Linked DNA regions of Tribolium castaneum. The protein of the gene in region 3 purifies or fractionates together with the protein of the main gene of each other region. This does not show direct contact. Links are inferred from orthologs where the notes say so. Each region holds a gene or a part of one and is shown on either strand. Other genes may lie near its edges.

Region 1 (7,590 bases), on a different chromosome or scaffold from region 3:
GGCACGCTTTCCGACATGTCTAGCAATTATTCACTAAATACCTCGATCTTTACACGAACTTATAATAAATAAATACGACGAAAGTCTGTTTACGTTCGTTTATTGACATTTGCGAGTGACTTTTTTATTAGTGACATTGACATCCACTGTAGCCAATCGTAGAAAAACTTGAAATGGGTTTATGGCGCGAATTTCTATTTCTATTATTAACACCAACGTCGCATTTTCCCTCGAAATTAACTGTTCTAAATTATTCATGCCCTTCAAAAAATTAATAGCTAATGTAATTTATACAATCTGTCTATAAATGAATGTAGGATCGTAGTAGGTTTCAGAAGTTTGCCGTTTTGTTCAAGAAAAAACGAACAATGTTAGTTTTACTGGTACTTTTCAGAAATTTGATAGTAATAAAATAATTAAATGCGGCAAATTTAAATTACAGAACCACCTGAGAGCCAACACTCTTTTATAAACAGTCCGTAGTTTCAATGAGGGATCTAATCTTTAATAACTATTTTACATTTTTATACAGCTTAATTAAAAAGCAACGTCACATTTTACCGAATTATCTTTTTACATAAGACTGATAAAACTGTAAAATAGTTATGAATGCTAAGATCTCTCATTGAAAGAAGAAATTGTATTAGCTATTTATTAGCTTTGTTCGCGGAGGATTTTTAGAACTAATTCTGAAGTAGTCCAGGATTTATTTACAGCGCATGTGCGGTTCTGAACCAGTTATGGATTTTAGTCAACCGCAAACGATAATTTATCGTTGTCAAGTACACAACAAATGTTTAAAAACTAACAAGCTACAAAAATTTGAACAAAGTTAGAAATGAGTTATTCGAAAAACCTAAAACGAAAAGGTATAAATTGTAGAAAACAACCCATTTTCAAATTTACAAACATTATTTTATATACAAATAATTACGATTTAGTAAAGTATTAACTAAATTCCGGTAATCAAAACAGACAGTTTATTTATATTGATTCCAATCTCAAAAATATTCAAAGACATGAGAGTAACAGAGACAAAACCGCTTTCAACTGCGCACGTCTAGAACTAAAAATCCTTCGTCGAGTCCCAGGATCGTTGGGACTAATTCTGAACCGATCCGGGATTCAGCGTACTAGAGCTGGAACTAGTTCAGGATCGCTACCGCGAACAAAGCTGTTATTTTTTTGAAATGCATGAATAATATAACAGCTAATTTTGAGAGAGAATGCGACGTTGGCGTTTTTATATTTTTGAAACAGCTAACAACTGTAGTTTCAAATGTAAATAATATGACAAAATCCAAATAAAAAAATGACTTTATTAATACGTAACAATCACTATCAAGTAGAAACTTATAAATACGATAAATTATTCTTGAAAGGCAAATCCATGACTGTAATTACTTGTTGAAATATTTAAATAGCTAATCCATATACTGATACAATGCAGAACATGGTCTTGTTCTCCCAACGCACGGTGCAGCTCCCATCCGTGTTATTATCCCAATAGCACGAACTAGCGGTGTGCAAACCGGCCCCGTTCTTCTGCATTATGGTACAGGTCACGATGTACTTGTATGGTTTCATCAATTTCGTCAATTCTGATGTGCAACATTCCACGACCGAAGTCGTCCAGTCATTGACTTTATTTTGGGAATATGCGTTGCCTCCTATCACAGTTTCTATCGCGTCTTTAATGATCTTACTCACATCGTCGACCACGAACTGGCCCTCCTCTTGCAGATCTTGGTCCAACACTTCTTGATTCGTTTTCTCCATGATACTAAAATTCTTCAAGTTAATTCTTGGAAAATACACTGTATGGTTTGTAATCTCACTGATATTTCGCCTCAAGCGGCGCAGGAATGACAACAAACTCACCCCTTTCAAAAGAGGAAACGTCAAAAGTGACAAGGCGTGGTAATACCAACCTAACAAAACGTCACCGATATCATAAAAAAATTTCTATTAATCACGCAACGAAATTTTTTATATAAAACTGTCTCATAAATAAATGTTGAAATAAAATCAATATCCAGTTGCTGGAATTTATACATTATCTACCAAACATTTAGATAAACACTATTACCAACCAATGCGACAAAAACACTAAACGTTCCAGAATTTTATTAAAACATTAATAAAACAAAAGCACTTAAATTGTAGTAGTAATTAAATCTTTAATTAAATATACTTAATAAAATGAACCACAATTACAGATTTAGTTCCCGTTAAGGACATGGCCTCGGCCCCAGTTATGCCCCCCGAAAAACCTGCCGCGGGGCTCTTGATTTGGTCTTTGTTGTCTCTGTGGGGGCACCCCAAACCCATGTACACCGCCCACTTGATCCGGGAACCATTGCTTTAGAATGGAGGGGGTTTGTATTAAAGCAGGGCCCCCCAGTTCTTGTGGGTACTTGAACATGAGAAAAAAGTACAAGTGTCCAATTAAAATGCCAATCAGTTCTTGGACACCACCCCCTGATATGACCATGTTAAAGGCCAACAACACCCAAGGGAGGTACATTGCCTTGAAGCGGGTTCCAAACCAGAAATTCACAATCGTGTCTTTGTTAAGCTGACACCAAATGTATAGTACTGAGAGGATCATGGGGTCTAGCAATAACTGGAAAAAAGGGTTATTTCGACTTAAAAGAGTTTTGAAGAACTTACGGGCATTTCAAGAAGCAATCCCACGATGACGCAACAAATCCAGTTGAAAATAAGGAGGAAGAAATAGTCTGCAGGCTTGCCGGCGTAAACACCCTCTTCCAACCTCCTTGAGTAATTATAAAGAAAATATAAATTGATCAGATAGTGAAAGCCGGTGCTTGGATTGAGAGGGTAATACAAGGCTGAAGTCACCAGCCTCCATATTTGGAAGCGTTTTAGGGGCTCTAGGAACAAAACTAAATTGTGAGGCTTCAAGATACCAAAACGTCCCAACAGCGTCAGTCCAACAGTTGATGATAACCAATATCTTGTAAAAATCGGTACATTTCGGTACCAGTCCCCGAAATCAGACATTTCGACCTTAAATACAACGTTTCATTGAACAAAACATAAAGAAATCAAACAAACATAACCTAACTTACTAGCAAATTTGGTAATGCAACTCTCCCAGTATTTATAGTAACACAGTCATAACACCAAGTGGTAGGTTTTAAAAATCATTAATTCCGAAGAAGTGTGAAAAGGATACGTGTTTTCTGGTTCTAAATATTCAATAAATTCGCTAACATGACAAATCAAACTCAGTCAATGGGGCTGTCAATTGTCAAAATTTCCAAATGGGTGACGTAGATGTCAAAAAGGTGATAGGGATTGGTGGTTGCCTAGTTTTACCTTTTTGGCTTCAGGAAACTATCTGCATTTTTGAGATCAAAAAAGTTCCCCAATTTTGATGTCTGTGCTATAATTGACTAATTTAGAGCTAAGATATTTTACTTTAAACCTCAACACGGGGTTTGCAACATAGAATCCAACACATCTTATTTATTAATAGGTACAATTGCAGATTACAGAAAAACTTGTTAAATGGTTTTGTAAAAATCATTTTGTATTTTCCGTTACGTATTAAAACTTACACGCCATGGGTCTAGCCTTTGAAGCACAATTTTGCTCTTAGAACATGATACACAATTTGTTTTTTTGTTATTTCCTTTCGTTAAAAAAAGACCGAGAAAATAAAACTTACTGCACTATGAGCATCGATGAACATATTGAAGTCTTCATATTATTTTTTTTACAAACAAAAGATGAAATCACAAAACATTTTGTACTGTCTGCGCCAATTAAGTTTGTAAAAAGAAGAATAGGTAACTTCACTTGGAACTAAAAGCGATATTCCTGTCCCTGTGCTATCCTTTTTTTTAAGGGGTGTCTTTCCAAGATAAGTGTCCAAAAGTCATTTGCCGTCACATATTTTATATACTCTAGATCAACAGGGTCCATCAGCAGCGCACAATAATTAATAATTTATTTGTCCCTTCGGGTTTTAAACTGATTCTTATGCAAAATTTACAGCTGACTTTGAATCAACTTCGATTTTTTGTTTGGAATTGCCTTCATGATGAAAAAGGCGTTTCCTTGGAAATTTTTGAAGAACTTAAAATTGGTCAAGTTTTGTGTTTACATCGTTATATCTTCCTTCTGGATAAAGCTAGAAACTTCATTTTTTTATAAAAAAAAATCCTCAATGGATGTGGATTGTAACAATTACACACAAGTTTTAGTTTCAACAAAAGAAGACTGAGAAAATAGCAGTTTTCTTGTAACGTTACATATTTGTCTAGTAGAGATGAGAATTTTTTTCTTAAAAGTTAAACCTATGCATAATCATGAAACGAAGCTAACAGCTGAGATAAATTGTTGGTGCAAGAATCATTTCGATATGTTTTATGATTATTTATGACACTCAAGTTATTGCAATTTAAAGTTACTGCCATATGCGCTTGAAGTGGCATTGCCGCGTATTTTCCTTTGTATTGGTAGTGTGTTCTAATTTTCCCATTTTTCTTTTCTCAAAACTGAAACTTAAAAACTACTTATTCACTGAGCATTTATTTCCAAAAAAGAAGTTTCTAACTTTAACCAGAAGGAATTTTTGACTAGTAGACACAAAAATTGACCAATTTTAAGGATTTAAAAAAGTTTCACAATAACGACAAAAACTAACTTCAGATTCTAATTCAGCAACAAAATTGGCATGTGAGAATAAGCGTTCAGTAAACGAGTCTATTACGAAAACCCTATCTGTAAATGTGCGACAATGAATTGAAACAAGCGCATAACTTTATTCCCAACAGTCTACTCGTAATACAGGACCAAAGTCATTTATTTTCTTTTTAACACAATGTTGATGTGAAATAATGCTCAAAAAACAGTTTTCAGGATTTTTTCGGAATTAAATAAAGCACTGATAGATTTTAAAATACTTTCACCCATACAGCCTGAGTAGAACTGTATCCTGTAAATAAGTTTCAAAAAAGTTACTTAAAACTGCTGTGAAACAAGCAGCAAAATTGCTCAAATTCTCCTTAATAAAACAGTGAATTTACGACTAACTAACTAATGCTAGAGTTTTTGTTTCCGTAATTTGCATTACACTGCAATAAATTGTAAAGAATGTTCTTTCTTTCATTTAAATATTTCTGAAGAATTAATTTGTAAAATGTAAGAATCACATTTAAAATTTGTGGCGTGTCCTGAACTTACTAAAGGGTCTACATTCGCCGCTGTAAAACTTTTTTTTAAATAAATAGGTTCAACTTAGGTTTCTTATCACAGCGATTTCGATATGTCGCTGATATTGATAAACTACCATCAGTTGTTCTAATTTTTTCTAATATTCCCATGTTTGCCCGCCAAGATAACACGCACAGATCCAATATAACTAACTTTATCAGAGTTCAACGAAAGCGTCCATAAAAAATGAACAATGGAATCAACTTTTATGAGAAGATTTAAAGTTCAAACCACAAATCGGCTTATCAGAAGCGTTCCACAGACCACACCTATTTGAGAAGATTTAGAAAAATTTCTAAGGGCGCCAAAAGTGATGTCACTAAGATTAGCGAAAAATCTGTTGTTATTTTAATTACTCACATCTGATAACCCGCAGGTAGGAATGCTTTATCTCGTTTATCAAACTTTGCACTTTAATGTTTTTAATGTTGAACTTTAAAACACCTTATTTGTTAAGAGTGTGTCGAGTGTAAAGACGAACATGTTTTGGGATATTTGCTGCTGTCGGCGAGACAAAAATGTTAAAACAGAAGAAAATGCCAACTCAAATTCGGGTAAGTTGCAATGTTTGTGTTTTAATAACTTCTAACTGGGTGTTTGTAGTGAACGAATCTCAAAATACTCAAATTAGCGTTATAAATGTGAACGGCACAGGGGAAAATGGTTCAAATAGTCCCTATCGAGAGCGGACAGGGACGGAATCCAGTGTTTCTAGTATGCATAGCATCAAATCGTATTATAGTGTCAAGTCAACGATGTCGCGAGACGGAGATTTCTACAGTATCTGTAGCGAAGAATCTTTTAAAAGTACTTAGTGGTTCTATGACATTTAAGTTTTCACCTGGACCTTAAAATACGTTTGTTGTATTTTTATTATAATAAATTATTTATAACGACACGCCTTTATTTTTAATCGCCCCATCACTTTTAATTCCGCATACCGACAAAATAAAATAACCATCGACTCGCCCTATCGACGAAATATTTAATTATCAAAAACCTTGGAAACAAACTAATTCCAAGCCAAAAGTCTCACAAAATGTTCCGAAAACTTTCTATCATTATTTTCCTGTTATATTTGGCTCAAATCTTGGCAGAGGACACACCAAAGAAGCGACCTCCTCCAGATTTCTCCGTCAAATACATTTTCATCTTCGGCTGTCTTTTACTGGTAACGAAGACCCGCCACTTCATCATTGTAAGTTTTCCCTACGTTCAGTCAGAGATTTAACCCCAACCAGAACAAAGGAATCCCCGTCCCTTACGCCGCCGTGTGCATGACTTGCGGTGTCCTGTGGGGAGTCGGAACTTGGTACAGTCCTTGGATGGAAGACGTCTCTTTAGTTTGGCCAACTATCATCAATGAATTCGATGTCATCTTCCTTCCGGCAATGGTCTTCAGCACCGCCATCTGCATGGACATTCACACCTTCCTGTATTCTTTTCCCCAAATTTTCGTTATTTCTTTCCCAGGTAGGTACTCGTAAATATCGCATCAATCGTACGACATTTTTAGTCAGTTGCTCTTCTCGCGAGCGCTATGTTTGGGATTTTGATGCGATTGGTGATCGACCGGAAGTGGACAGTGGTCGATAGTCTCTACTTTGGGGCACTAACACAGGCTATCTACCCCACTGAAATGCTCCGCTTATTGAAAGAGTCCGGACATCGCACGAAATGCGTGGCAATTTTGCTTGAAGGGGAGACCCTTCTCTCGGTTTCAATCGCTGTGGCATTCACACAAATGTTGGGGCTCCACATTGGAGGCTGGATTGTCCACTGGTACCAGTGGTTAATGGGGCTGGTGCGGACCGTGGTTGTTGGTCTGTTGGAAATTCTGTTCCTAACTCTGACTAAACCCAGATTTAGCTTTGCCCCTTGGTTACCTCTTTGGAGTTTTTGGAACGTTTCTCATGAAACTTTCGTATACTGACACTTCTGGGCTTTTAATAGTAACAATATCAATGTGCTACATGAGTTATTACATCGTTCAATGGATTTCAAGCGCTGGACTTCCCGCTTGTACCATTTGCGGAATTTTCATGGGCAGAGCGCGAGCAACTCTTTCGAAAGAGAGGGAAGAGTCAATTATTAATTTCTGGAAGATGGTTATTATCATGATGTGCGGGATTCTTTTTGTTGTGGCTGGAGTCATAGCACCGATTACTTTACGAATAAATGTACAAATGAAGGAATATGTCCTAGTCCTGGTCACTTATCTCATGGCGAATGTGACACGATTTCTTAGTTTCTTCTTATTTTCGCCGATTTTGTCAAGAACTGGTTATGGAATGTCGTTCCAAAACATGCTAATTTGTGTTTGGGGAGGCTTAAAAAACCCTC
Region 2 (7,198 bases), on a different chromosome or scaffold from region 3:
AGACGTTCAAACCAAGAATTATAAATTGGTCCATTGGTGAAGAGTTTTTTTCCGGACGCTCTATTTCGCGTAAATCGGTGAGGCGGCCGTGTCTGTGCAGACTCCGGGTTGCCGGGCAACCCCGGATCACGTGTCCACCGGAGTTTCCGGTCGTAATTAACCGATACGAAAATCAGCGCATTTTAATAGCCGGAGACGAAATGTGATGAAAAATTGATCGAGTTTTTGCGGGGGTTGAGTCTTTGGGGCGAATGCCAGAATCGATGGAGGAGTCGTCCGAGGGTGAATTTATGGACGGAAAAGGAATAAAAATAGGGGAAATTGGGGAAGTGGACAATTCGTCCAAGTTTGAATTGCTTGTGGAAAAAGAAGAGAATGATACACGCAAAGTTGCGTTTTTATTAATGAGGACGGGAAGTTCATTATGGGGGTTTAATTGAATTTGAAAGTTGTCACACATTTGATAGCTGATTGTGGTAATTAAATTGGACGAGTTATAGGCTTTGTTTTCTCCGGTTTTGCAAAAAATCACCAGAATTCCGATATTTCAGCCACTTATTTATGAATGATTTTTTTCCTTATTTGAGTCAAACAGTCACTTATTTATAAAAAAATTGTCGAAAAAAACCCGTTAACTCTGGAATTAGTCTTCCTGTTGATTGAATTAGCTGATTTGAAATAGAAAAGAAAGATTTACAAATTATCCCGGCGCATCCACCATTTTTGTCGGTGCATAAAACTAACTTTTTCTCAACAGATATGAACGAATAATCTTATCACATATAATCTTGTTTATATTCAGTTATATACAGAGTGATGTGCACCAACTTTAAAGTTGGTAATAAGAGAGCCACCAAAAAATTCCTAAGAAATTTGGCCTTAATGGCGACCAAAATTGTCGAGATATCAAAAAAACCGCAAAAAATTAACAGTTTTTTTATTAAATGCAATCTTTCAAAATTATATTTTTTGTTTAATTAAAAAAAAATAGTTGGTACTATATGTTTTTTTAAGTTCTTAAAATTTCTAAATAATTTGAAATTTTTCAAAAATATTTACTCAAAAAAACTCAGAAAATCAAAAATTCTAGTTAGTTTTCTAAAACAGAACAAAACAATGGATAGACAAAAAGAAGTGGAAAAATATGATGAAAATAATACATTAAAAAATCAAAAAGGAAAGAAGATACAATAGAAAAAAAATCCAAAGACGTAATTGATGAATATTTTATAGCAAAAATAAAAGAGTCACCTCATTTGAATTTAACCTAAATAAATAAATAAATAAATAAATCAGACAGAAAAATAGAAAAGAAAAATAATTGATAAAATGAAAATAAAACAGTAAATTACTAAAATTAAAAATTAAATTACTTCAAAATAAATTTTTTTTTTAAACTGCTTTACTTTTTTTCTCCACAATAATTTACACCATAAATGACAATAAACTCTCAAACCTTTGGCCTGCTTTTGAAAAAAATACATTCAAACCAATGTATTTGTACAAATCTTTAATTTTTTTATAATTATTTAGACTTCTGAAGTGATTCTTTATAATGCACTAAACTTGGAACTCGCCAGTTTTGAGACATTCTGTATATTATGTATAATGCATTAACATCTAATCTGCTATAAAACAGTTCAAAAGACGTGCAGTGCAAAAATTACGTAATAAAAAAATATAGTTTTAAGTACTTCATAAATTCACTGATATCTCTAATTATCATTATTCGTTTTATGTTAATTGTTTGACGTAGTCATTAATCTGCGTAGTAACACCTAATGCTTGCCAATAAATTTATTTATTGAAATTAATCTGTAATTAATGGGATTCCAATGATTTTTTTAATTAGAATACTTATTTCAAAAGTACTTTTTGGACTTTCGCGCAGCATTTATTTTTTTTGACGTCCGTATTTGCTGCATTTGGAGATTACTGTAGTCAAAAAAAATGTACCGCCTTAATTTTATGGTTTTACGATATTACGAAGCAATCTTTCAAAATTTTTCCAAACGTTTAATGAAACGAAATTAATTATTGTGAAATGTCGGTATTTAATTTTCCCGCTTATCAGTTATCAATTTTGTAGGGTATGCAAAAAATACTCGTAGCTTCGATAGATTCTTTTATTAATAAACAAGTATTACAAATTAATTTTTGGGGGTATTGTACACTGGCTAGGGTTGGTATCACTGCCGATTCTCTTGGGGATTCACCTCCTGGTTCTGGTTGCCCCAATCGAACCCCCCGGGCCGCTCCTCAGGAGGCGGGGCATAGTCCGGGTCTTCAGGTATTTCGTCAAATAGCGTACGCCTGCAAGAATCTATTAAAACTAACCCGAAAAACGCCCAATCCTTACATAAAATGCGGCGTTTTAAGTATCCTAAAACCCCCTCTTTGGTTTGGAAAAACATCCTCTATAAAATAATAAATATGTCCCACGGCTATCCCCATCAAGTCGACATAGACCGCATTTCCCAACAAGAGCGAGAAGCCCAGTAAAACCCAAGGCAAGTAAGGAGCTTGGAAGTTCAAAAGGCCGAAAAAGTTCATCCTAACGTACGGATTGCGCCGCGACCACACGTAAACCAGCATTATTGTGAACGCTTGTCCCAGAAATAATAAGTTAACAAAGAACGCAAAAATCTAGTCGGCGTTAAGGCCAGCTTTTGACGTTAAAAACGGCGCGCTTTTTGAAAGGATACAATCATACACACGCCCCCGAACAGGAACATCATCACAAAGTCGGCCGTCCTGTTCCGGAACGAGCCCTCCTCAAGCATCCTACAGTACCTATAAGTGAAAATCATGTTGAAGAAGAAATTGAAACCGAACGTTCCAAAAAATAGGAATGTGGTGACTAGCCGCCATAACTGCCCCTGTTTCAGGATCAGGATGGGGTTGAAGTACAGCTGGAAGGGCGACGCCAGTTCCAATTGCTTGAATGAAACAAATTTTAACAAAAAACCCCCCAAAAAAATATAACTTACAACAGCCAGCGTTGTTATCACACATGCCGTTGTGTACGCCCGGGTCACGGGGGGCATGTGCAGGTATTCGTTTCGTAACGTCTGATAAGCCATTTTCGGGCTAACTATCACGACATGTCCATTTTAAGCCAAAAATCAGATTTTGAAAGCCACATCAGTGCTTGAAATTATCTTGTCAAAATTTGACATTGTTGACATTTCTCTCCCGGCGCTAGTAACTTCGTTTCGGCACGATTGGTACCCAAGTCGTAAATTCGGCGAAATTAATAAATTCGTTTCAAATAAACAAATCCCCGATGGTCTATTTCAGAAAAATTCCGTGTTTACACTTCCAATTGTGCCTTTGTTTAACTAAAAATGAGCCTGGTTTGTTTAAGTTGGCGGGACTGTGCGCACGCGCTACGTTTTGTTTAACCATACTGTCAAATTTTTCCAAAAAATAAAACCATTTTTTGCGATGGTTTTGACTAAAGAATACCGAATTTGTATGCCGATTACGGTCGAAGAGGTGAGTTGTGGTCATTTAGTGCTTTACTTGACTTGGTTTTATGAAAGTATCAAGTGGGGCAACTGTACATGATCGCGAGGCACAGTTTGGAGCAGTCGGGGGATGGCGAAGGGGTTGAAGTGGTTGAAAATCGGGAAATTGACGACCCGGAGCATGGCAAAGGCCAGTTTACCGAAAAAAGAATTCACTTATCAAGGTTTGATTAAGAATTAGCGAATTAGAGCGTTAGGTAATGAGTTTTTGTAGCCGTTTGCCTTACTGGGTGCAGGCCATTATACCTAAGATATTTTACGTGACGGAGAAAGCGTGGAATTATTACCCGTACACTATCACAGAATATACGGTACGGCCCAAATATACCGGGTGTTTCGGTTTTTTATGCGCACCTTTGTAACTTTTTTATTTTTGTAAAAAAGTGTACAAGTCGTTTATATTTTTGGTTGGATTGACAAAATATATTGAATAAAATCATCAAGTTGGCTGTATGGTGACATTCGTCAAAACGGTGACTGTCAATTTTTTTTCATTGGTTCCTTGTATAATTTTTTGCACCATTATTTATAATTTTAAACATGTGACAAAGAATTGGTAAATAATTAAAAAAATATAGATTATTTTAAATAAAAAAATATATATTATATACTTTTATTTACTAACTTAAACAAAATACTATTTTTTTGGCACTCCTTTTATAATAAATTCATGTCTACGGATATCTAAAGGTTAGGATATAAAACAGCCTACTAATAAAACGTTTCTGTCCTCGATAGTTCCGTTAATGACGCCATTATTGCATTGTAAAGTCAATTTATGCCTAAACCGTTAAAAATAGAAATATGGTATTTTACTTTATTTAATAAAAAAATTACAAGGGTTAAATTCCCAAACTGAAACACCCGGTATATTTTTTATATATTTTTTATTATTTATTTGTAGTGCTCATTTATTCCACGTTTTCACATTGAAATTAAAACCAAATATGAGAATAACAACGGCAGTACCGAAAACGTGAGTCAAAAAATAAATTGCAATTATTTTTTTTAAATAAAAAAATTTAGTGTCTTAATTTAACTCCTGAACAACTTGCCGAACGCCTAGTCGACCACATTGACATAGCCTACGATGAAGTGAGCCCCAAACACTACAAAGAGGAAGAGGACCCGCGTTTTTTCCAGTCGAAAAAAACGCAAAGGGGGCCCCTGGTGGAGGGCTGGCGGGCTAACTACACCCCAATCATGTGTTCGTATAAATTAGTAAATGCCTCGTTTGAGGTTTTTGGCCTCCAGACGAAAGTCGAGGATTTTATCCATTCGGTGCGCGCACTCGTTTTGGCAAACTTTTGGTTGTTAAACAATTTTTTTAGTGTATTCGCGAGGTGCTGTTGCTGGGGCACAGGCAAGCCTTTGCGTGGATTGACGAATGGATAGAAATGTCGTTGCAGGATGTGCGTGAATACGAGGCGAAGTTGCAATCTCAGACCAATTCGCTGCTTGCTGATAAGGTCGGGGGCGGCGATACAGCCGCCCAGGAGTCCCCCAAAAGCCCCAAGTCGCCCCAGAAAAAGGGCTATTTTTCGTGGTTCTAGCATCAGGAGGTTACGTTAGAGGATTGTTGCGTTTTTGTTCTTTTTTTGTTACTTCATGTTTAGTTGCTTTTGTTTAACTAGTCAAATGTCTGCGTCATTTGTTATCGCTTGACGTTTAGGAAATTTTTATTTAACGAATTTTAGGTGCACTCTGGACCAGGGCGTTTCTCCTCAATTTTTTGTATGTATGTAGTGTAGAAGTGAGAATAGTTGTGTAAAGGGGATTTTTGTCTCCAACTTCCTCGTTTATCGTGATTAATACCTACGTTGTATTGTTGGAAAAATAAAATTTCACACGGAAAATTGGATTTTTTTTCTGACCCAAATTTACAATAATTTGCATTTGGGCGATAAAATTGTGAGACATAGTTAAGTCACAAGGTTATCTCTACTCAACAAAAAAACAAATTTTTGGTTTAATTTGTGTCACAGTGTCGTGTTTGTTCGTTTGGAAACAAAATTCGGCTGAAATGCTTCATACGAGGGCAGGTCAAAAATTAAAGTAATCGACTGTTAAAGGTGAATTTTTAATTTTTTATAAAATCCCCTTATCCTAACGCATTGAGTGTAAGGATTGTGGTAAAGACAAAGACAAAAAAGTATTAAGGAAACTACTGCCCCCGTATGAAGTCCAAAAATTGAGATGCTTTATTTTCCGCAGTTTACTTGCGGTAAAATAACTTTATCATTAATTGAAATAAATAAAAATATGCAAAGCAATTTACAGAAAAGCATTTTTGTGCACTATTTTGCTCGGAGTGTATATTTGGTTGCCTACACTAAAAAATTGAAACTTGTTTTGGCTGATAAAATGAATTTTTATATGCCTTTACAACCCAATAGAGTTGTTAAAAGTCCAAAAAAAGTCTATATGTTCAAATGTTTTTATGTTTGCTTTTTTCAATTTTTGTCGAGATTTTGGTCGATTTCGGGTACCCGGAACATTTATCGAGCAATAACTGCGGAACTATTAGAGATAACCCTGTGAAGTGTATTATCGTTGGAAAGCTCTTTAAATTGTCTATTTTTTTCAAAAAAAAATATTGTTCTCCGACTAATAGTTTTCGAAAAAATTGCAGATAAATGCAAAAATTGGTAAAATATTAAAAAATTTATAACTAAAAAACTATTAAGAATTTGGCAATTTTGCCGATGCCAATCGATTCCCCGCATCATTTTGCATGGGTAAGGATAAAAATAGTTCTACTTTTTCGAATAGTTCAGCCGTAATTAAAAAAATAAGAATTTAAAAAAGTTAACGCAAAATTTTATTCAACAAAAAAAATCATAACTCAAAAACTAAAAGTCGTAAAGCAAAACCGTTTGTTCCAGTGAATTCAGCGGCTCATTTTCTGTATTATACCAACTTTTCACAAAATTTAAAATTTTGTTTTTTTCTGCTAAAATTTCCTGAGTAATACGCTTACTTACCTTCAAGATAGTGAAAAAAATATATTTTTTTAAACTCGTTCTATTATAGTTTTTTGGACTTACATATGCTTTTACATCCCTCTAGAGTTGATAAAAGTTCAAAATAAGTCGAGTTGTTCGATTTTTTCAATTTTTGTCACGGTTTTGGTCATTTTTCGGTACCGGGATTATTTATCGAGCAATAACTCCGGAACTATTAGAGATAACCATACGAAGTGTATTATCAATGGAAAGCTCTTTAAATTATCTATCTTTTTAAAAAAAGATGTTTGTTCGCCGAGTAATGGTTTTCGAGAAAATTGCAGATAAATGCAAAAATTTGTAAAGTTTTAAAAATTCATAACTAAAAAACTATTGGGAATTTGGTATTTTTCTCAACGCCAATCGATTCCTCGGATCATTTTGCATGGGCAAGGATTAAAATAGTTCCACTTTTTCGAATCGTTTAGCCGTAATTGAGAAAATAATTTTTATTTCTTCAAGTTATAGCACGTAATATACGAGCTCTTCACGAGATTTAAAATTCTTAATTTTTTTTGCTTGAAATTTTATAGGTCAAGTGACTTACCTTCACAAAAACGACGTTTTATTCATTGTTAAATTTTTTGAAGATAAAATAAAAATTTTAATAATTATGTATTTTTTGATAATTTGTAATAAAAAACGGGCTACTCGTAACAACTA
Region 3 (7,247 bases):
TAAAGTTGAAATTCCAGATACAGAGCAAGGAAGACGGAATTAAAGGATGAAGTGGAGAGACTCAGGAGTGAAAAAAAAAGATATGCAAAACTGCTACAAATCAAGCGAACAATAGCTGCAAATATTCGCATAGGTTTGCGGCAACTTTTACAAGTCTCGTATGAACTGTCGGATGAAACTAAGAAAAAACCTGCTCCTAGCTCACACCCTTTTGGTGTTTTGGCCGAGAGGAAGGACAAACCACAGGAAATTGTCGAAGATGAAATCGACGGTTACTTGAGGGTTATTTTTGTATAAATGTAACTAAATCAGTGTTTTAGGATCAAAAATTGTGCCAATTTTGGTGGCCAAATTCACTCCCTTAATGTCACACTACTTTGCGCTCAAACACGAGCCAAAGTCCGATGAGGCTTTTCGAAATATTGAATCAATGATGCAGGAGCGAATGATTCTGGCAGACCAGTCTGAGGCACCCCTGAGTGAAGCTTGTAATTGCACAAAACGCAAACACGGATGCGTTCATTTAATTGTTAATTGTAGCCTTGTTGGAGGGTTTATATGTTGAAGCCAGTGAGCAACTGACAAGGGAGGATATTAAAAAACAGAGTCAGGAAATCGTTGCAGCGAATACGAAAAACGAAGATTTAGTTCCACTAATTGTCGTTCCGTTCAACAAGTGGAAGAAAATGCAAAAGCAGCAAAAAAATTAATGGGATTTAATGATAAATTATTAATAAAAATACTCAACATCGTGGTTGTTTCAATCGTCGTCTGCCAACGCTGCAAATTTATTGTGGGCGTAATTCGTCGGCTCTTCATCTGAGTCAGTTTCTTCGTCTTCGCTTTCTTCACTGCTTCGGTCTTTGTGGTCACCGGAGGAGCCCGGGACGTTGTCTTCATCTGAAGCATCAGAGAGGTAGTCTTTGTCGTCTGCGAGCTGAGTGGAATCGTCAGATTTGGCCTGAATCCACTTCACTTTCTCGATCTCCGGGTGTGAGGCCCAATAATCTAACAAATAAAACATAACGCAGTTTCAATTTCTTTTCAACCAGCGTTTGCCCGGAATTTTCATGATTTTCTTATTAGCTAGATCTTGGACAAAAATCAGTGATTCACGTATGCCTTCTAAACATATTCCAAATGTTATTCAACTGAAAACCTTTTATTTTATCTTTTATGTCAAGAGATAAATAAAGACAACTTTTTGTATTGGTTACATGCTGATGAGCAGGATTCTGAATCATATTTGATACGAGTTTGTAAGACAGGCACATAAACGTACAAAGTAATCAAAAATCTTTACATATAGCCACAAAATTAAAAATTATTAAACAACTATTAAACTTGGGAGTTTCAAGTTTTAATGCTAGTCAAAAAATACTTCCAGTTACCCCAAAAAAATTATATCGCAACGATAGAATTTATTATGAGGAAACGATTGCAATTTTCTTCAAAAACTACATTTTTCAATTAAAATATTCCGTATGTTCCAAACGAAGTCAAATGAAATAAAAAAAAGAAGCAATGAGACATCTTATACAAAAAATAACGTTGTTCGACATGTCAACTACCTTTTTTATTTGAGTACTTGGGTGGCCTGAGACACAGGCAAATTTTCCCGTCCAAAGCCATCCTCAGTAAATCATTTGCAGCTCTGTAGCTGTCCAACCTGGCGGCTTTGGCTGTCAGGAAACCCCGTTTTTTGGCCCAGCCATCACAAATGTCCATGGCACACCAAGTATCGTCATTTTCTGGATGTTCAATCCTCAGCATATTTGGTAGATCCATACGTTCCGCTATAAAAAATTCTCAAAACTCACAAGAACAAAAATTAAAAACAATACCTAAATACTTTATCGTTGTGAACGGCTCCCTAAGTTGGGCGATGGGGAAACTCCCCATCAAAACCTGTATAACCTTTGGTGTTTTCGACGGAAAGACTAGACCAGGACAGTCGCACAGCCGCACATTGGGCGTTAAAAAAATTGTTTGGAAGTGTTTCGTATGGCCTGGAGTTCTGGACACGCTGACGACTTTCTTCCCCATGATTGCGTTAATAAGTGACGATTTGCCGACGTTGGGTTGCCCCAAACAGCCGATTGTGAGAATACCGTTTTTGTATTTTTCGTGTTCGAAGTAACTCGTGTCCACTGCTTTCATTTGAACTGTTTCTCCAATTTCAACTTTCTCGTCTTCATCGTTTTCGTATTCCAAATTCATTTCTTCCTTTATTTTGGTTTGCCAAGAACTTATGTCTATATTATCCCCAACTATGGTTTTACAAACTTCAAACAACTGTTGACTCCCTTCTGCAGCCAATCGGAACTTGCCTTTGCGTTTACGGACTTGGAGACCTAAAATTAACAATTAAATCTTGTAATTAATTTATTACACACTACAAACCAGCTCTATTCACTTGGGTGCCAACTAGATTATAGCCAGGGAGTGTGGTAAACATGCAAATGTGCAAATTGGGGTAATTCTCCTCAAAGTATTTTTTCCACGCCACGACTAACGGCGCTGGGGCCAAATCAATTTTATTCAATACTAAAATAAAGTCTTTCTTCAATGTTTCAGTCACGTATTCGTACAAAGATGGGGGAAACATGTGGGCCTACAAAAAGTAATTAAAATTTAATAAAGCAAATTGGGAGGCAGAATTACGGGATATCTGATATCAACAATGTGCAGAACAATATCTGACATTTCGAGAACCCGCCACAACTGCCGCCACGTCTCCAAGTTCAGTTCAAAGAAACTTAACTCTTTCCAATTATACTTTTCCAAGATTCCATTAACATAATCCTGAAATTAACCGATCAGACAAAATAATGTTAATGACAATAACCGTACATTAAAATATTTGGTTTCGCGTGCTTCGAGCTGTTCAGTCGTGAGCTCATATGACCACGGGGGCCTTCGAGGAAAACCCAAGTCTTTGGGAAAATAGTCATTTGAGTCAATTTCCAGCTCTTTCTCAGAGACAGGTTCTATGGTTTTGCAAGCCTCTTCTTTACGTGCTTTGAGCTCAGAGGGAGTCTCGCGGTAAAACTGCAAGGCATAACGGTTGCGGTCTCGCCCGTCCTTAGGGGGACAGTAATTGAATTTTTGAATTTGGGGCTGATCCTCACTATCACCGGCACTGGTCTTCAACAAAGGCCGCCGGTTTCGGGAACCAAAACCTTCTAAAGTGGTTACAATTAGAACAGTTTTCTGCAAAAAATAAGAGGGTACCTTGAGGGGCGTTCTGTTTGGACTGTTTTTTGGCCTTTAGCTGCTCTTTCTTGGCTTTGCCACTGAACGGTTTCTTGCGCTGAGGCATTTTACTTACTGTGCTGTGAACCTGACCTTAAATTTTTAACAGTTTTAAACATTAATTAACACAATTACAGCAACACTACTTTTTATTTTAAAATCAACGAATTCTAGAAAATCACATGGAAGTTACTAGAATCCCCTAGAACCATAGGACACTTGTCAAATTTCAAATCTCATTTTAAAATTTAAAAAGAGCGAATTTACGTTTTTTGTGTGAATTTTGTAAGCACAAAAACGCAACAACATGTGCTGCATATTTTAATAATAATCATTACAAATTAAATGTAATAATTAACCAGATTAACATTTATTTGTCCAAAAAAACCTTATTAATCAAGAGCGCTTGCGTCAATTTTGATTTGACACGTCAGGTGACATTGACATTATTTTGACAGTTTAATAATTAAATTGTAGTTTGTTGTTAATTATTAAAAATTGCAATTGCATCGTAACAATAATATTGTGGAACATTTATATTGAACAAACTGGGAGCGATGGACGAGTTTGAAGCCTTTGAGCAAGAAAACGGCTTCTGGAATCCACTGAATTCAGGTTAGTCCTTAACGCAAAAAAAGGAAAGTTTTGGTAATTAACATTCGCATTTTTAGTCATTTACATCCTTGAAAATTATGGCTGGTATATGCTAATTGCTTGTATAGCTCTAGTAGTGGTATACCAGAAAACTTTAAAATCTTACATCCAAAAACTTAGGGAATACAAATTTGAGAGAGACTATGCGGCTAAATACCACAAGAGTAAGTTACTTTACGAAATTTAGATCGTTTTAACTGGTTTGGCCCCAGATCCCGATGTTTTTGCTGCACATGTCAGTGCCCAACAACAGTGGGCCCAGAAACTCCAAGAAAAATATAACAAAGAATCTGAAGAATATCAAAGAAAAATGAAAGAAAAGGAGGAGAAAAAGCGAGAGGAGCTTAAAAGGAAGTATGAGACTTCTGGGGGTCACGTTTTGGGTAGGAAAGATGATACGAGTAATTTGCGACCAGGTGAGTGTAACACTTGCTGAGTCATGATTTATTGATTCGTTACTGTAGGATATAACCCACTGATGGGCGCTGGAAGTTCGTCCAATTATCGCCCACCTAGGAGAAGTCCTTGTGGAGGCGGAGGATGTGGCAGATAAGACTATCACTTTTAAATAATTAAACTACACAATTATAAATTATTTTTTTAATATTACACTATTGTTGGGCTTTACTTAATTAATTAATTACGAATCTATACTAGAATTAATAATTTAATAACATAACTGAAACTACAAAACGGACAGATTATCAATTTATTTGGTTATATCATAATTGTAATAATAAACATTTTTAGAATATAGCAACAATAAGGAAATAAAAGGTTTAGTGTTTTCTTCACTAGCGAATTAGACTAATTATTAGGTAAGGTCGTCGTAATCTTCGTCAACATCAGCGTCGTTCGGTACTTCCATTTCTGGGGGCCTTATGTTGTTCAACAAGTCTCTCATTGCCCCAACCAATGATACGACACTTCGTCTAAAATCTCCAGCGTCATTGTTTGCGTTTTCGTAAACCGGAAGAGCTGCAGCGCCATCTTCCTCTCTCGGTCTACAAAAAAATTCCACTCTGCTAACTGTGGCTGCGAAAACAACCCAAAAAATGGACTTACGGGTCCAAAAGATTTGGTGGAATCTGATTGGGATTAAAGTTGGGCAAAATCGACCTGAAGAAAATACTTAAAGGAATGGAACTATTATTTGAGACTGTTGGCCGTTTTGGCTTGGTGTAGATGTTGATGGAGTCTTGAGGGGGCAAAGGATCGAACCCTAAGACAGGTCCGCTGAAATCCTGGAATAACAATTAATCCCATGTGTGGTTTTGCACAAAAAATTACATCAGTGATTGGTGTTAGATCCTTGATGTCTGAGAGCAGAATATGTCTCGCTATGCTCCTTGGCAGGGAGCCTTGGTACCTTTTGGCCCGTTTCGTCTCATAATCCTTCACAACTGGGTCATTTTTATCAACTCGATCCAACACTGCGTGCACATTGCGTTCCAGCCAGTGCATCAAATCGCTGTCTTTCCACACATGGTAACACCTACTCACATACAACTGGATCAGCTGTGTCAGAGCGGCCGATTGTCTAAAACACACCCAATATACCCATCTGTTTACATATCACTCATCAATTACTTGTTTTCGTTAACTGAGAAGAATTTGTGCGTCATTACCCTGTTGTCAATTTGCACTGAGCATTTTTCAAGTAAAGGCATGAGTACGCCGGGGAACATTAACAACGCGTTCTGAAGCAAACTGTCGGCTTTGGCCGTTTCGCCGTTCGATGTGTGGAAATGGGCCACGGCTGTTGAGAAAGCAAAGTTTGGGAGTTGGGACAAGTTCTTTGCTGTCTCCCATTCGTCAGCAAAGTCAATCAGCCAGTTGTACTCGCGGGCACGTAAAGCATAAAAGTCAATTGCTAGTTTAATGGCAAGGGGGTCGCCGTCGGGGTCCAGCGAAAGGAGAAGCTTGCAGAACTCGAGGGCCGTTCGACAGCAAGCGCGGCCCCCGACGAAAGTCAGGTGCTTGAAGATTGTTATGTATAAAGCCCTGGAACGTAGGAAAAAACTTTCGATTACAATGCAAAATTTTACAGTAAATTACCAGGCGTTTAAATATAGTAATCTTTTTATTAAAATTTAAAACAAAAATGTACCTGTTTTCCTGCCTTCTGTAGTCCAGCCTGCAGTTTCCTTGCGCAACATTGAAAAGAGGGTGAAAAGCGCACTCCAGGCAATAGAGCGCCCTTTCAATAAACTCAGCTGCCATTGCCAGATCCTCGCTCAATTTACACAAATCTGACAACTGTATCAGGGCATCAATGTGGTAAGGGTGGTCATTAATAATTGCAACAATATTATCAGGATTTAGACTTTCAACTGACTCAAGAAACCTGTTCTGTATCTGGCGGTAACTCTGACTGTGTTCGTAGGTAAAATATTGAATCCCCTGTTTATTTTCGAGCAAGTTCATGGAAAGTCCCGACTTGCCCACTTGGGGCCACGTATCTTTACCACTTACTAGCCACGTTGTCTTTGTATGTCCCCTCCCTCTGTTTTTTCTTTTGCTACAAGAAGAAAGTCAGAAGATCGGGCTTTAAGTGACTATTACCTACTGTTCAGCTTGGATAATTTTTGAGCCAAATATCTTTTTCAATTCATTGTTCGGGTTCAAATGTTTATGTTGCACGGACAGAATGTTCTTATTGTGGACATTTTTCTCGTGCTTGGTGTTGAATGGAGGAGCTGAGGTGGTTTTAGGCAAGTGGCTTTCGCCCAAGAGTCTGTTCACCTCACGAACTGATCTCTCGACTTCGTCGATCTAAAAAGGCAAAGTAATGTTTAACCCATAACTTTGGGTCTTACATCAGCATTGTCCTCGCTGCTTCGCTGCGGATTCACATGTTTCCCTGACTTTTTCTTCTTCTTCTTTTTCTTTCGCTTGACCGCCTCGTGGTTTGGGTCCCCTTCACATGACTTGGCAGCCTCCGTTTCATTGTCGTCTTCCTTGACTTCGCTCTCTGAGTGTGACTGTTGGTTCAGCTGGAAGATGATAATTAACGCAAAATTCGCGTTACTGGAAGGGGCTGTTACCAGATCGTAGCGATTGATGTTGAGTTGTTTTCGTCGGGCACCCCCACTAACAGGAATGTCGGTTTCTGTATCAGATATTTCATCCACAATGTCTTTATCCCCCTGTAATTTTCGCAACACTCGAGAAGACATCACAAGAACAGTAACTTCGCTGGTGACTTGTCTGCTGTTTTATTTCTTTTTCAGGAATATTTTGGTTATCCTTTCCGCAGGAAATCAATGGACTTCTGGAGATTTTTATTTTGATAGATTTGACACACGACTTGTACTTAACCTATAAATCTTTTTGAC

The links.
Region 1: the proteins of selenoprotein S (region 3) and Der-1 purify together in Homo sapiens (affinity purification with western blotting; 6 studies listed by BioGRID and IntAct, with this or other methods). This does not show direct contact. The link is inferred for Tribolium castaneum from reciprocal best matches to the Homo sapiens genes SELENOS and DERL1.
Region 2: the proteins of selenoprotein S (region 3) and Der-2 purify together in Homo sapiens (affinity purification with western blotting; 3 studies listed by BioGRID and IntAct, with this or other methods). This does not show direct contact. The link is inferred for Tribolium castaneum from reciprocal best matches to the Homo sapiens genes SELENOS and DERL2.

The regions. Positions count from the first base shown.
Region 1 is NC_087396.1:17,556,895-17,564,484, forward strand, and holds Der-1 (derlin-1), read right to left. Parts: upstream 3,302-7,590; 5' UTR 3,096-3,301; intron 3,034-3,095; 5' UTR 3,028-3,033; coding exon 2,674-3,027; intron 2,627-2,673; coding exon 2,222-2,626; 3' UTR 2,113-2,221; downstream 1-2,112. Other genes in the region: trafficking protein particle complex subunit 12, read right to left, coding at 1-17; Dlc90F (dynein light chain Tctex-type), read right to left, coding at 1,417-1,779; solute carrier family 9 member C1-like, read left to right, coding at 6,287-6,445, 6,489-6,720, 6,768-7,070, 7,117-7,590. UniProt on the Homo sapiens protein: Functional component of endoplasmic reticulum-associated degradation (ERAD) for misfolded lumenal proteins. Forms homotetramers which encircle a large channel traversing the endoplasmic reticulum (ER) membrane.
Region 2 is NC_087399.1:2,162,430-2,169,627, forward strand, and holds Der-2 (derlin-2), read right to left. Parts: upstream 3,226-7,198; 5' UTR 3,084-3,225; coding exon 2,991-3,083; intron 2,940-2,990; coding exon 2,706-2,939; intron 2,647-2,705; coding exon 2,360-2,646; intron 2,314-2,359; coding exon 2,190-2,313; 3' UTR 2,113-2,189; downstream 1-2,112. Other genes in the region: rdgBbeta (cytoplasmic phosphatidylinositol transfer protein 1), read left to right, coding at 3,448-3,498, 3,546-3,694, 3,745-3,841, 4,435-4,506, 4,557-4,811, 4,862-5,083.
Region 3 is NC_087394.1:30,816,538-30,823,784, forward strand, and holds selenoprotein S, read left to right. Parts: upstream 1-3,683; 5' UTR 3,684-3,812; coding exon 3,813-3,870; intron 3,871-3,926; coding exon 3,927-4,073; intron 4,074-4,121; coding exon 4,122-4,325; intron 4,326-4,373; coding exon 4,374-4,462; 3' UTR 4,463-4,685; downstream 4,686-7,247. Other genes in the region: uncharacterized protein LOC662435, read left to right, coding at 18-271, 321-488, 541-710; Ns4 (guanine nucleotide-binding protein-like 1), read right to left, coding at 761-1,008, 1,572-1,796, 1,845-2,354, 2,404-2,614, 2,665-2,805, 2,854-3,185, 3,235-3,322; Nulp1 (ribosome quality control complex subunit TCF25), read right to left, coding at 4,724-4,913, 4,975-5,153, 5,200-5,449, 5,500-5,913, 6,020-6,430, 6,479-6,684, 6,729-6,905, 6,957-7,088. UniProt on the Homo sapiens protein: Involved in the degradation process of misfolded endoplasmic reticulum (ER) luminal proteins. Participates in the transfer of misfolded proteins from the ER to the cytosol, where they are destroyed by the proteasome in a ubiquitin-dependent manner.